3 linked regions of the Arabidopsis thaliana genome follow. The protein of the gene in region 1 interacts with the protein of each later gene in a pairwise test. Each region holds a gene or a part of one and is shown on either strand. Other genes may lie near its edges. The genes, in order: TMAC2, HB-12 and MYB49.

What was found.
Region 2: the proteins of TMAC2 (region 1) and HB-12 interact in a two-hybrid assay, tested with the Arabidopsis thaliana proteins (one large-scale study listed by BioGRID).
Region 3: the proteins of TMAC2 (region 1) and MYB49 interact in a two-hybrid assay, tested with the Arabidopsis thaliana proteins (one large-scale study listed by BioGRID).

The regions. Positions count from the first base shown.
Region 1 is NC_003074.8:384,667-388,785, reverse strand, and holds TMAC2 (AFP2 (ABI five-binding protein 2) family protein), read left to right. Parts: upstream 1-1,734; 5' UTR 1,735-2,348; coding exon 2,349-3,308; 3' UTR 3,309-3,549; downstream 3,550-4,119. UniProt on the Arabidopsis thaliana protein: Acts as a negative regulator of abscisic acid (ABA) and salinity responses.
Region 2 is NC_003074.8:22,913,571-22,917,040, reverse strand, and holds HB-12 (homeobox 12), read left to right. Parts: upstream 1-1,647; 5' UTR 1,648-1,801; coding exon 1,802-2,155; intron 2,156-2,341; coding exon 2,342-2,695; 3' UTR 2,696-2,887; downstream 2,888-3,470. UniProt on the Arabidopsis thaliana protein: Probable transcription activator that may act as growth regulators in response to water deficit.
Region 3 is NC_003076.8:22,015,573-22,020,095, reverse strand, and holds MYB49 (myb domain protein 49), read left to right. Parts: upstream 1-2,034; 5' UTR 2,035-2,250; coding exon 2,251-2,383; intron 2,384-2,580; coding exon 2,581-2,710; intron 2,711-3,042; coding exon 3,043-3,739; 3' UTR 3,740-3,953; downstream 3,954-4,523.

The sequences.
Region 1 (4,119 bases):
TAGATTGATAGCCACATTTCTGAGATTCGATAGTCATATATACGACTATATATTAAATATTCCAGAAGATATATTGACACTTTTTCTGAAAGACTAATTAAGAAGAACGCGCAAGTATGACTATGCGTTACTAAGAATATTTAATTTCCATTAGAAAATGTGTAAGTTTATCTGATATACTAGTTAATTAGCCAAATGATTTTAAAATTTACGTTAAGAAAATTTCGTAGGTTCAACTTTTTAGTGTGTAAGTTATTAATTGTGAATTATACAGCTAGGAACGTCCGTTATATGTAAACAAAGTAACTATATATAAAATTTAAGACTTAGAGTAAGTATTTATTATGTGATTGTTATATATACTCGCTAAAGAGTACTAGATGAAGAGTGAAGAGGTTGGGCATCTCGAGAGAGAAACTGAAGAAAACAGAAGAGAAAGAGAGTTATTCACTCGATGGTCCCCCTAATTTTCCTATCACTTTTTCTCTCTCAATTTAACCGTCTCTTGTATTATCCCCAATAGTTACATTTTTAATTACTCTTATCATTTCAATACCCAACAAAGCAGAAACAGCCCAGCAAAATTTTCACTTCCAGAAATTATAACATGGTTGAATACACAACACTAATTAACTGCAATATGAATCATAAATAAATTTATTAAGATTTCTATATAAAAACTGTTGGGCAGCAAATGCATGCGTACGATATCTATAGAATTGGAGTTTAGTGCAATTGTTGGTATTTCTTTCTTTGGGGAAAGTGACACGTTAAAATATGAAAAATGTAAAAATTTGAACAAGACTTACAATAACTAGAAAAATCAGAGATACAAAATTTACTACTCTATCAGTCTATCTGTTGTCTTATACACTACACCTTTATTATGCACTGTTCCTATCCCAAACACCAATCCCTATGCTCAGTCCATATGGTAGATACTACTAGAGATGGTAACCCAACACATATGTGTTAGATGGCCCCATAGGCAGTAAGCAAAACATTACTTTTTACAACCATATCTTTGTTTATAAATTTTAAAAGCTATGTGAATTTAATTTAGTATTACTATCCTGGATCACAATCTTGGGCCAACAAAAGAAATGTGTATGGGCCAACTGTGATGAAAGAAAAGCCCAATGGATCAAAGTTCAGATGCTTTCTGTAGCTCTTTTGTAGAGAAGTTTTTGTAAGTTTAGTTATAGAAGCAAAAATAGGTAAACCACAAAACTGAAGCCCGGTTGACTAAATCCTTAAATGTGATCATGTCACACAGCAACTTGGCTACATGTTGTCGTGAAGCAATGAATAAAGTGGTACGTGGTGTATTCTAGAAGCGAAACGTGTCACTAATCTTATCACCTTTTTAGGGTAAAATAGATTTGAAACAAAACATTTCTTCAAACATACAAAAAAAGAAAGAAATAGTACAAGTTGGCCACTATGCGTGTCCCACTTCTCGATCTCCTCTTTGATTGTTTGCGTCTCTTTAGGAGATCCTCCCATTCATTCATTCTTTCCTCTCCACCTTATTATTACTATTATTCTGCTGCATGAATTTCAAAAAATTATGTAACAACAATTTACCGAAATGAAATTACCACAAAGGATTAGAAACTAGCACATTCTTAATAACCAATATTGAACTCTTATTAGTATTGTTGTTAGAACTTGAAGTTAATTAGGCCACAAGAAAAGGCGCGTAGAAATGTTTAGATAAAAAAAATGTCTAACGTATTTCTTTGGTTTGCCGTGTCGGGGGCCCAGTCAGGCTGGATACACGTGGCAATAAAGGGACTGTCGTAGTTGAGCACGTTGATTATTAGACACGTGTCGAGTTGTATATGAACAAAGTAGCCTACGTCTACGCCACTTGATGCCCTTTTCCACGTGGCGTGGTGGGTGGTCGTCTATCTTTTCCTATAAAAAATCATAAATCAATATTAAAATGTTTTCAAGAAGATAATCCGAATAATTCCCTATATTTTGTGTCTGTCAACGAGAAATCACTATCTATTTTCATTGATTATACTAATGCAAATTGGTATATTAACTGGAAATTATGTCTATTTTAAGCCAACTTGTGTGAAAATATACTAAAGTAAAGTTTTAAAATCCGTACTACATCGTCAACTATGCTTGTAATATAATTCAAAAACATGATTTTCTTTTTTTTTCCCTGAAAAATATAAAATATGCAAATTGAAGTACTATAGTTTATAATAGTAAGCATTTGGTGCTTGTTTTAAGACAAAATTGTTTCGTCTCTCTCAAGATTGAAAATAGAAAGTTAAGCCAAAAACGTTTCTCCCTTCTCTTTCGAATTTCTCTGACTTTGATATTTGGTTATGGAGATGATAAGAGGCAGGGGAATCCCAAACGGCGTCGTTCAAGTACCCAATCTTTCTGCTAATAATCTCTTGCAGAAGTTTTTCATCGCAAGCAACCATTTTTGTCAGCGAGACTCTGAGCATGGTGAGAATCAACAAGAAGCGAAGAAGAGAGAAGATGAAGCAGAAGAGGATGAGAAAGACGTGGAGCTAACGTTAGGTCTTTCGCTTAATGGACAGTTTGGTACGGATCCGAGATCGAGAAAAAGGAGGCACTTTGAACTGGGTCGATCTTCTTCGATACCGGAAGGTTTCGTCTTCGATGAACAAAGATCCGGCGGCGGTAACGGCGGAGATATGCGTCGTATTGTGGGCCGTGGAGGCTCAGACATGTTTCAGCTGGATCGGACGCGTTCTCTGCCGGTCGTAACGGAGATGGATATAGAGAAAGAGCGGAAGGTGTCAGAGAAGACGAGGGCATTTATGGAATCTCCGGTTACAAACAGAGGAGCATATCTAACAAAAGATAAAAACAGAGGCCAAGCCGTCGAAACAGAGAAGCCGAGGGCATTTCTGGAATTTAAGATTCCTCCGACCAAGGAGGGAAAGAAAGAAAAAGATCGGTTGGTTGTCACTGGTCCGGTCAACGGGAAGGGTAAAAATGGAAATACGGCGAAGAAGCAGAAGAATAATGTGGAAAATTCAGGAATGGAGAAGGCGAGGAACATTCTTGAAGACATGCCTTGTGTGTCGACGAGAGATGTCGGAGCCGACGGGAAACGAGTGGAAGGGTTTCTTTACTGGTACGGAGGGAACAAGGAGGAGGTCAAGATAGTTTGTGTTTGCCACGGCAGTTTTCTTTCTCCGGCGGAATTTGTTAGGCACGGCGGAGGTACCGTCAGCGATGATGATGGTGGTGATGTTATGATTAACCCTCTTAGACATATTGTTGTTAAACTTCCTTCTTCTTCTATCTAGGGATTATTATTTATCCCCAACTATTATTAGAGCTCTCATTTTTTGTTTTCCCTAACTTTCAAAATGTAACGATGTCAAACTAATTTGACCGACTAAACTAGCTGAAGCATGTACATTTTATATCCAAAGTTATTACAGATCCACTTGATTTGATTTTGGTTAAGAATGTTGAATCAATCTTAGCTAAACGGATGTTTTATTTTTTAACGTTAGAAATTAAAGATTCATTGATATCGAAGGGAGAGGAAACAGAGTTCAAAACTGAAGAGAGACAAATGCAAAGCCAAGACTACCAACAGGCAACAGATATATCACTACGAGTGAGCTCAGAAGATAATGAGAAAAGACAACCTTTGCAAAGGAAGCAGGGAGCAAAACCATGGTAAGAGAACTAAGTTTTCTCTCTAAGTCTAATTGTGGATCGTCAGGACTGCTTTGTAACTAATGCGATAAGTGAGCCAAGAAGGGGGCTATATATGATTGATAACGGTGATCTTTCGTAACACACTAATGGCTATAAGCTCTAATTTCCATTCTTCAAATGAAACCGTTAGCCTCAACGAACGGATGTTTCACAAATGTTGAGCCAATGGATGGATATACTCGTCTTTATTATCGAGCAATACGCTTGGCGTTAACTATTCATGGAAGTAGCATGTAGTAGCGAGAGTCGCTCTATTTGATACTAGATACATAGAAGAACCTTTCACATCGCTGTCTTTCAAGAAGGATGAAGATGCCAACTCAACCAAAGCAAGCCAGACCACTACCGAAGAAGATCGACAATCATGAATCAAGACCCAATGATGTA
Region 2 (3,470 bases), about 23 Mb from region 1:
CATTAATATTGTTGCTTAAAATTACAAACTTTCAAAATCCCATGGTTAAGATAATTAGTGTTTCAGAGCCTAAGACGGAACGGAACTTGTGTAATTTTGTAAGAATAAACATATTAACTTCGTGTCTAAAAAAAAACATACTACACTGACTTCGTTTTCTAATAAGTAATTGTTGTAGAATTTTAATTTATTTCTGTTTATGTAAACTGTTATTTTGTATGTTTAATGCATATATTTTAGACAAGATACTTCTATCCATAATAGTTAGCTTATTAATAGAGGTATAATAATCTTTTTAGATTTCATATTATATTTAGTACTATTGGTTTTAGAAAAATGGAAAAAGGTCAAATAAATAATAGGAACACCACTGGTTTATATTTCTTTTCTGGATTGTGTATACTTTTTAGAAGAAAACTAAAACGGCATGTTGAAAAGGAAACCAAGAGGATAGTAATTAGGTCAGATTACTTGTTTAGTTACAAGAAAGTCAAGAAATCTCATAATTGAGTTTAAAACTTTAAACATTTGCATGGAAGTCAATAAATCTATAATCCTTACTCGTGATCATCTTATTGTTTCCGTGTAACGAAATTAAACGCGTAAAACATCGCGTAAACTATAGTACGGTATGTGATATGCAAATATATCTTAATTTATTTTTTATTTTTTATTTTTCTTGGGCAATGAATTGAAGAGTTGCAAAATTATTTGCCAGCTTACCACATGCGGCCACAATTTTAACCATGATTAATCTTCTTTTGGAATTTAGCGAGATAAATCAAGAGTAGGTTTATTTTAGAACATAGTATATAATACACTAATGAAAAGTCTCGTTAAAACGTGTTTCACGTAACCGACCTCTAAAGTATGGCGTGCGAGTAACGACAAATGAAATCTCAAATGAAAATGGAGATTATTTTAATCTTAATTATAACACACTAATTAACACCCGTCAAACATCCTGATATGTGAACGTGGAATCTCGTTACACAATCGAATAAAATTATTGCTTAATACGATCCGTCTTTCTCTCTCTTTCGTAATGATTATCTATCAATATTATCTTGACTAATAAAAGTATCGCAAGGCCTTGGCAGTCACATGTTAAATGATGATATACGTTGTTGCATGTTAAAACATAGTACAACGATCATCTAGGCTGCTGCTAAATTCTATTTTCAAAAATGCCTTTTATATGCAAGAAAAGCAAAATAATCGAGTTTTTTTTTTTGTTTCATTATAAACTGCTTCATTTTTCTTAGGAACGGCCAAACTGTTAAAAAGTAAAATATGTATGGTGATTAATTGATGTAACCAAAGCCAGTTCGCCCGTTTGATTGTCAACCCACGTTATCATTCACTTGATCACTTCCATGAAACATATAAAAGCTGATAATACTTATATTATAAAGGAAAAAAAGTATGAAAATATTATCAGTAGTTAGATGATTAGTTCACATCTAAATGAAATACGACTTAAACTGAAAGAGACATGAGCCAATTCGTGTCGAGCCACAAATTTTGGACGTATATTTTTAGCCCGTGGTTCCACAATATTTGCAGGTCTTTTTATTCAATGAGTTTATTTTGTCTTGGTTGAATAATGAAATTTCCAAATATAAAAAATAATAGAAATCCGAGGCCCTACACAAGCACACATAGTAACTCCCACATTATATATAAGCGGCCAATATCAGCAACTCAGAGATTCCAGAAAGAAAGAAAAAAAAGAAACAAATAATTCCAAAACCTTCTCTCTTAATCAAAATCAAGAAACTTACAAGATCTGGTGAAAACCATGGAAGAAGGAGATTTTTTCAACTGCTGTTTCAGCGAGATTAGTAGTGGCATGACCATGAATAAGAAGAAGATGAAGAAGAGCAATAACCAAAAGAGGTTTAGCGAGGAACAGATCAAGTCACTTGAGCTTATATTTGAGTCTGAGACGAGGCTTGAGCCGAGGAAGAAGGTTCAGGTAGCTAGAGAGCTAGGGCTGCAACCAAGACAAGTGGCTATATGGTTTCAAAACAAGAGGGCTCGATGGAAAACTAAGCAACTTGAGAAAGAGTATAACACTCTTAGAGCCAATTACAACAATTTGGCTTCACAATTTGAAATCATGAAGAAAGAAAAGCAATCTCTGGTCTCTGAGGTACATAATGATTCTATCGATATCTTTATCTTTAATTGAACAGTGATAGAAACAATAATTGATAATGATCTTTTTTTTTTATAAAGTATAAAATAGCAAATACAGTCTTGGCATTTATTGGTTTTTGGGGGATGTAAATTCTCGATCATTTTGCCTAATTTGATATTAATCAATCTCTATTTGCAGCTGCAGAGACTAAACGAAGAGATGCAAAGGCCTAAAGAAGAAAAGCATCATGAGTGTTGTGGTGATCAAGGACTGGCTCTAAGCAGCAGCACAGAGTCGCATAATGGAAAGAGTGAGCCAGAAGGGAGGTTAGACCAAGGGAGTGTTCTATGTAATGATGGTGATTACAACAACAACATTAAAACAGAGTATTTTGGGTTCGAGGAAGAGACTGATCATGAGCTGATGAACATTGTGGAGAAAGCTGATGATAGTTGCTTGACATCTTCTGAGAATTGGGGAGGTTTCAATTCTGATTCTCTCTTAGACCAATCTAGCAGCAATTACCCTAACTGGTGGGAGTTTTGGTCATAAAAGCATATAAGAAAAAAACAGAACATAAGCGAAGAGAAAGAGTGTGAATAGTTTGTAAATTATGTGTTAAGAAAAATAAATTTAGTTTAGTTTAAATCTTGTTTCGATCTATGTATCTACTATGTTCAATACTCTTTGTAGCTAATTAGTAGCTTATAATGAGACTAGAAAAGTTTTGAAGTCACCAAGGTTAAATTTGTGATTGCAAGTTGGCTCTAAGAGTGTTGGACCAAGCGTAATGATCACAAGTACAAGAGTCTTCGTCCATAATGATCTCGAAACGGACTAAAAATTGACCTAAATTTGAAACTAAGTGCATTTATCTCTATATTGGTGCTCTGCTATAATGCTTTCAATATCCTCGAGATGAATTGTCTATGAATTTTATCACCAAATATCAGTTTTGATCACATTCCGGTTCATCAGCTCAGGTTACTCTGTCACTCCCTTCCTATGAGATATTTGTAGCTGGATTGGCAGATATGGAACAACTTCTTGTAGATGCAGAACTAGTTCCTTTTGGTGTTTGTCTTTCCAGTTTATAAGGAACAATCGAGTCATGATAATCTTCCTATGATTGATGTCATGTGGGACATGTGCTTTGTAACCAGACTCTCAACAGAATGTAAAAGAATGGCTCTAAGTCAAGTCTTTATAGTGTCCTTAATCTTGTAGCAACGGTAGCCCCTGGATCATCCCTTCTTCCTTGAGAAATCAAAGCAAACCAATGTTTCTCTTATGGTTCTGTTCTGTATAATATGGGGGTATTTTGGGA
Region 3 (4,523 bases), on another chromosome or scaffold:
TTCTTATACCAAACTAAAATGAAGATGGTAGCTGATTAACGAATTTACATGCGGAAGACTTAAATAATCGATAGATTAGTTTATGAAAAGACTTGCATAATCGATAGATTAGTTTATGAAAAGACTTACATAATCGATAGATTAGTTTATGAAAAGACTTGCATAATTGGTAGATGCAAAGTTATAAGAAAACTGATAAATCTGAAACGAGGCTTGAGTTCATCAAAATTTCCTGTGACAGCGATTATTTTAATGTTACTAAGACGATTGGGTTGTTGGGATTGTTGTAGATAAACCAGGCAATAACATAATCTACCAATAACAATGTATTGTATTTCCTTTTAGTTGAGAAATTAAATATTTGACCACATTATCTGAATTTTCTTGTCGTCTTAATAACTAATTATCATTATTCATTTTTGGCAGGATCTTTTTTTCTTTGTTAAAGGGTCTACTTTTTTTTTTGATAAAGCAGTCTTTTATTTTTAAAACATGCATCACAAAATTTACCTTCATGAATCAATTCCCTGTGAGACAATGATATGATTTAAAGTTTACATGTAAAATATTCTATACCGTGGAAAAACACTCATTTCATTGTTATATAACGAAAAATATGAATTATATGGACGCAAAATAACTATTTACTAGATATATCGATGTTATAGAAATAATATTATATTAAAAAAAACGATATATACGGTTTAGTGTTAGTGTAAGTTTATATTTTTGGCACTTGTTGAAAACGTTATGATAACTTGTTTATTATCAACCTAACATGTTTTATACGGCTATACCGCATAAAGTGTAGAATTAATTTTACCTCTTTATATGACACAATAATATTTAACATGTAACAAGAGCAAGGGGTTACTTGTCAAATACGCCTATGCACTAAACAATGATAAATTGGTCATTCTCCTAATTTAAAAAGTCACTTTATCATTCTTCTCTAATACCAAACCTTTCTATATAATCACTCTTAAACCGGCCGATAACTTGTTTTCCAAATAATCTAAAACTTATACTAACCAAATTTAACTAAAATAGTAATAATTTCTTACAAATATCAAATCAAAAAATTTCAAATCCCTGACTTGTCAAATCAACCATGTTTCGGACTGAGACCAAAGTCTCTGCAATTCAATGACACATGTATATTATATAGTATTGTTTCATTAATCACACATGTATTTTGACCGTTAACATGCCTTGTTCTTTACGTATGTTGCACTGCAACAACGCTTTGTCGTTAATTTACCTAACTTAGTAAAAACAAAATACATGTCTTAGATTATCAGTTATTCAAACTTGTCGTTATGTAATTGTTATTGAAGTAAACAGAAACTCTGGTGCGATGCAGGACGTTACTCAAACTGAGTCACTTCGATCGGATGTCTTAATTCAAGCAGGACAATCTAGCTTTGCTACTGAAATTTGATGACACGATGATATATATCTATTTCCAACCGATGAAGCACACTGGAGATCCGTTTGGATTTTTATTGTTTTTACTTTTTTACACTATCGTAATCATTCTTTACATATTTCCTTTTTATTTTCTCCTTAGAAGAGAAATTATTTGTATACAAAACTTAGAAGGCTAAATAAGCATATTTATTCAGTATAATCACTGTAACCACACCTTATTCAATAAAATTCTTATTTTGAATCTGTCTATTTATGTATATGATATTGCTATAGTGATGACAGATGAGTAAACATTAAACATACACGCAACATAGCTATCTTGAAAACTGTTTGATGATTTGAGACAAAGAGACCAAAACAAATGGAACCTTCTTCACATATCTATCACACGTCCTCATACACCACCCATATTCTGCCATGTGTTCTCACTCCATCAATATTAATTATTTTTAGGGTTAATAGAGATGGTTTAGTCTCATGCTTTTTGTTTATTACTTTTTTTCTTTGGTCAGAGCTTTTTGTTTGTTAGTAAGGACTTTAAAGATAGAGAGTAAAAATTACTCTTTTGTTTTGTCAACATAATAAGCAGTTTTTTTCTACTTCATTTTGTCTCCGTATTTCATCAAGAAAAGACACGTATTTAGATAGATGATGGAAGGGCGGTACCAAATCTCCTTGACTTGACTTTGCATGTACCATATATATATTTGTATATACATAAATCATAATTCATGAAGAAACCAAATTTTCTCTGTAATCAAGTTCTCAAAGCTTATTAGCTTCTCTCTCTAGTTCTCTCACATATAACATTTGAAAAAGATGGGAAAATCTTCAAGCTCGGAGGAAAGTGAAGTGAAGAAAGGGCCATGGACTCCGGAGGAAGACGAGAAGCTCGTAGGCTATATTCAAACGCACGGTCCCGGCAAATGGCGTACCCTTCCCAAGAACGCCGGTAAATTCCTACCCTAACGCATGTATATATACAAATAGCTAAATCCTATCAGCTACAATATGTTTTCCTGCGTTTTGTTTTACGTTTATGTTTAAAATTTACTAATAATGATTATCATGCTAGATCATGTCAACGTTAGAATTAAAATTAAAACAATCATGGTTCTTATTCGTTTTTCTTGGTGTGAATCTTAAAAGGGTTAAAAAGATGCGGGAAGAGTTGTAGATTGCGATGGACGAATTATCTAAGACCCGATATCAAGAGAGGAGAGTTCTCTCTTCAAGAGGAAGAAACCATCATTCAACTTCATCGTCTTCTTGGAAACAAGTTAGTCTATCTGCAATTTTTCATTTCTTCATTTAGTGTATAATTGTTTACATGTATGATTAAATTAAGTAAAAAATGACCTAGTTTTCCACTACTACACCTACTTCATTGGACTTCCATGTCTTTACATTTTTGTTATAATATTACTTGCATATTTTATTTTATTCAACTAAAAGACAAGAACATAGTTAAGCACTATACCAAGGTCAAATGTCTAAAGCTAAGCATGCAATCTTCAACTCGCTGCAGCTAATATCTTAACAAGTTAAAACTTATACTTCTCTTTTTGATTTTAACTTAAAATCTATAACACGATATTTTTTCTTCTATAGATGGTCCGCAATTGCTATTCACTTACCAGGAAGAACAGATAATGAAATCAAAAACTATTGGAACACACATATTAAAAAGAAACTCTTACGAATGGGGATTGATCCGGTGACTCATTGTCCCCGCATTAATCTTCTCCAGCTCTCTTCGTTTCTTACCTCATCATTGTTTAAATCTATGTCACAACCGATGAATACTCCATTTGATCTCACTACTTCAAATATTAATCCTGATATCTTGAATCATCTCACTGCCTCTCTCAACAACGTTCAGACCGAATCATACCAACCAAACCAACAGCTTCAAAACGACCTAAACACTGACCAAACCACTTTCACCGGTTTGCTCAACTCAACACCACCCGTTCAATGGCAAAACAATGGAGAATACTTGGGAGATTATCACAGTTATACCGGTACAGGTGATCCATCTAATAACAAAGTCCCTCAAGCCGGAAACTACTCATCAGCCGCATTTGTATCCGACCACATTAATGATGGTGAGAATTTTAAGGCCGGATGGAATTTCAGTTCATCAATGCTAGCGGGAACTTCATCGAGCAGCTCGACACCGTTGAATTCGTCTTCGACTTTTTATGTCAATGGTGGAAGCGAAGATGATAGAGAGAGTTTTGGTAGCGACATGTTGATGTTTCATCATCATCATGATCATAATAATAATGCTTTGAATCTATCATAATGTCTTATTTATTTTGCTTCTTGATCTTATTTGTTTTATTTTTACTTTTTTTTAATGGGGGTTTGTAATTGTGTTACATACTTTGTAATATAAGAGCTTAGTCTATTATTATGTTGACTCTTTTTTTTTTTTTTGTTCTACTTTTTTTGATCCGAAAAGGTTTCTATTTGTTTACACTTAAAAAAGTTATAAAACCTAAGAGGATAACAGCTAGTGTACCTTTATCTTGACTTTGTTCTTCTACTAATTGTTTTTTCTGCTTCGAAGAACTTTACATTAGTCGACTCTCAAAAGGTCATAAGATGGTTGATAAGTGTGTTACGTACATACTTAGTATTTTAAGAGTTAAGTGTATTCTTAATCTTGGATTTCTTGTGCATTTTCTTCCACTAATTGTTCTTATTTTCCAATTCGAAGAACTTTCCATTCGTTATACCTAAAAGGTCTTCAACTTGTACGAAAATTTTCTGGTGTTATAGTTTTATTATTCTATTTGCACCATCTTGATTTTGATGATTAAGAACACATTTGGTGGAGCAGGAGACAATAGTGATTATATTTAATTGGTCATAGACTCATAAAGGGGAGTTTTCAATTTCATAATACAAGAAAAAAGAAATAATCGACTTGTTTTCCCTTATGATTGGTTTGAAATCAGCACAAATAAATAGTAATACACCTAAAAGGAAGATTTAAATAGTTATCCACTATGAGAAAATGTGTATGAAAGATTAAAATAGAAAATATATAGTCAACGTTGTTCGAAACACCAAACCCAAGTTAT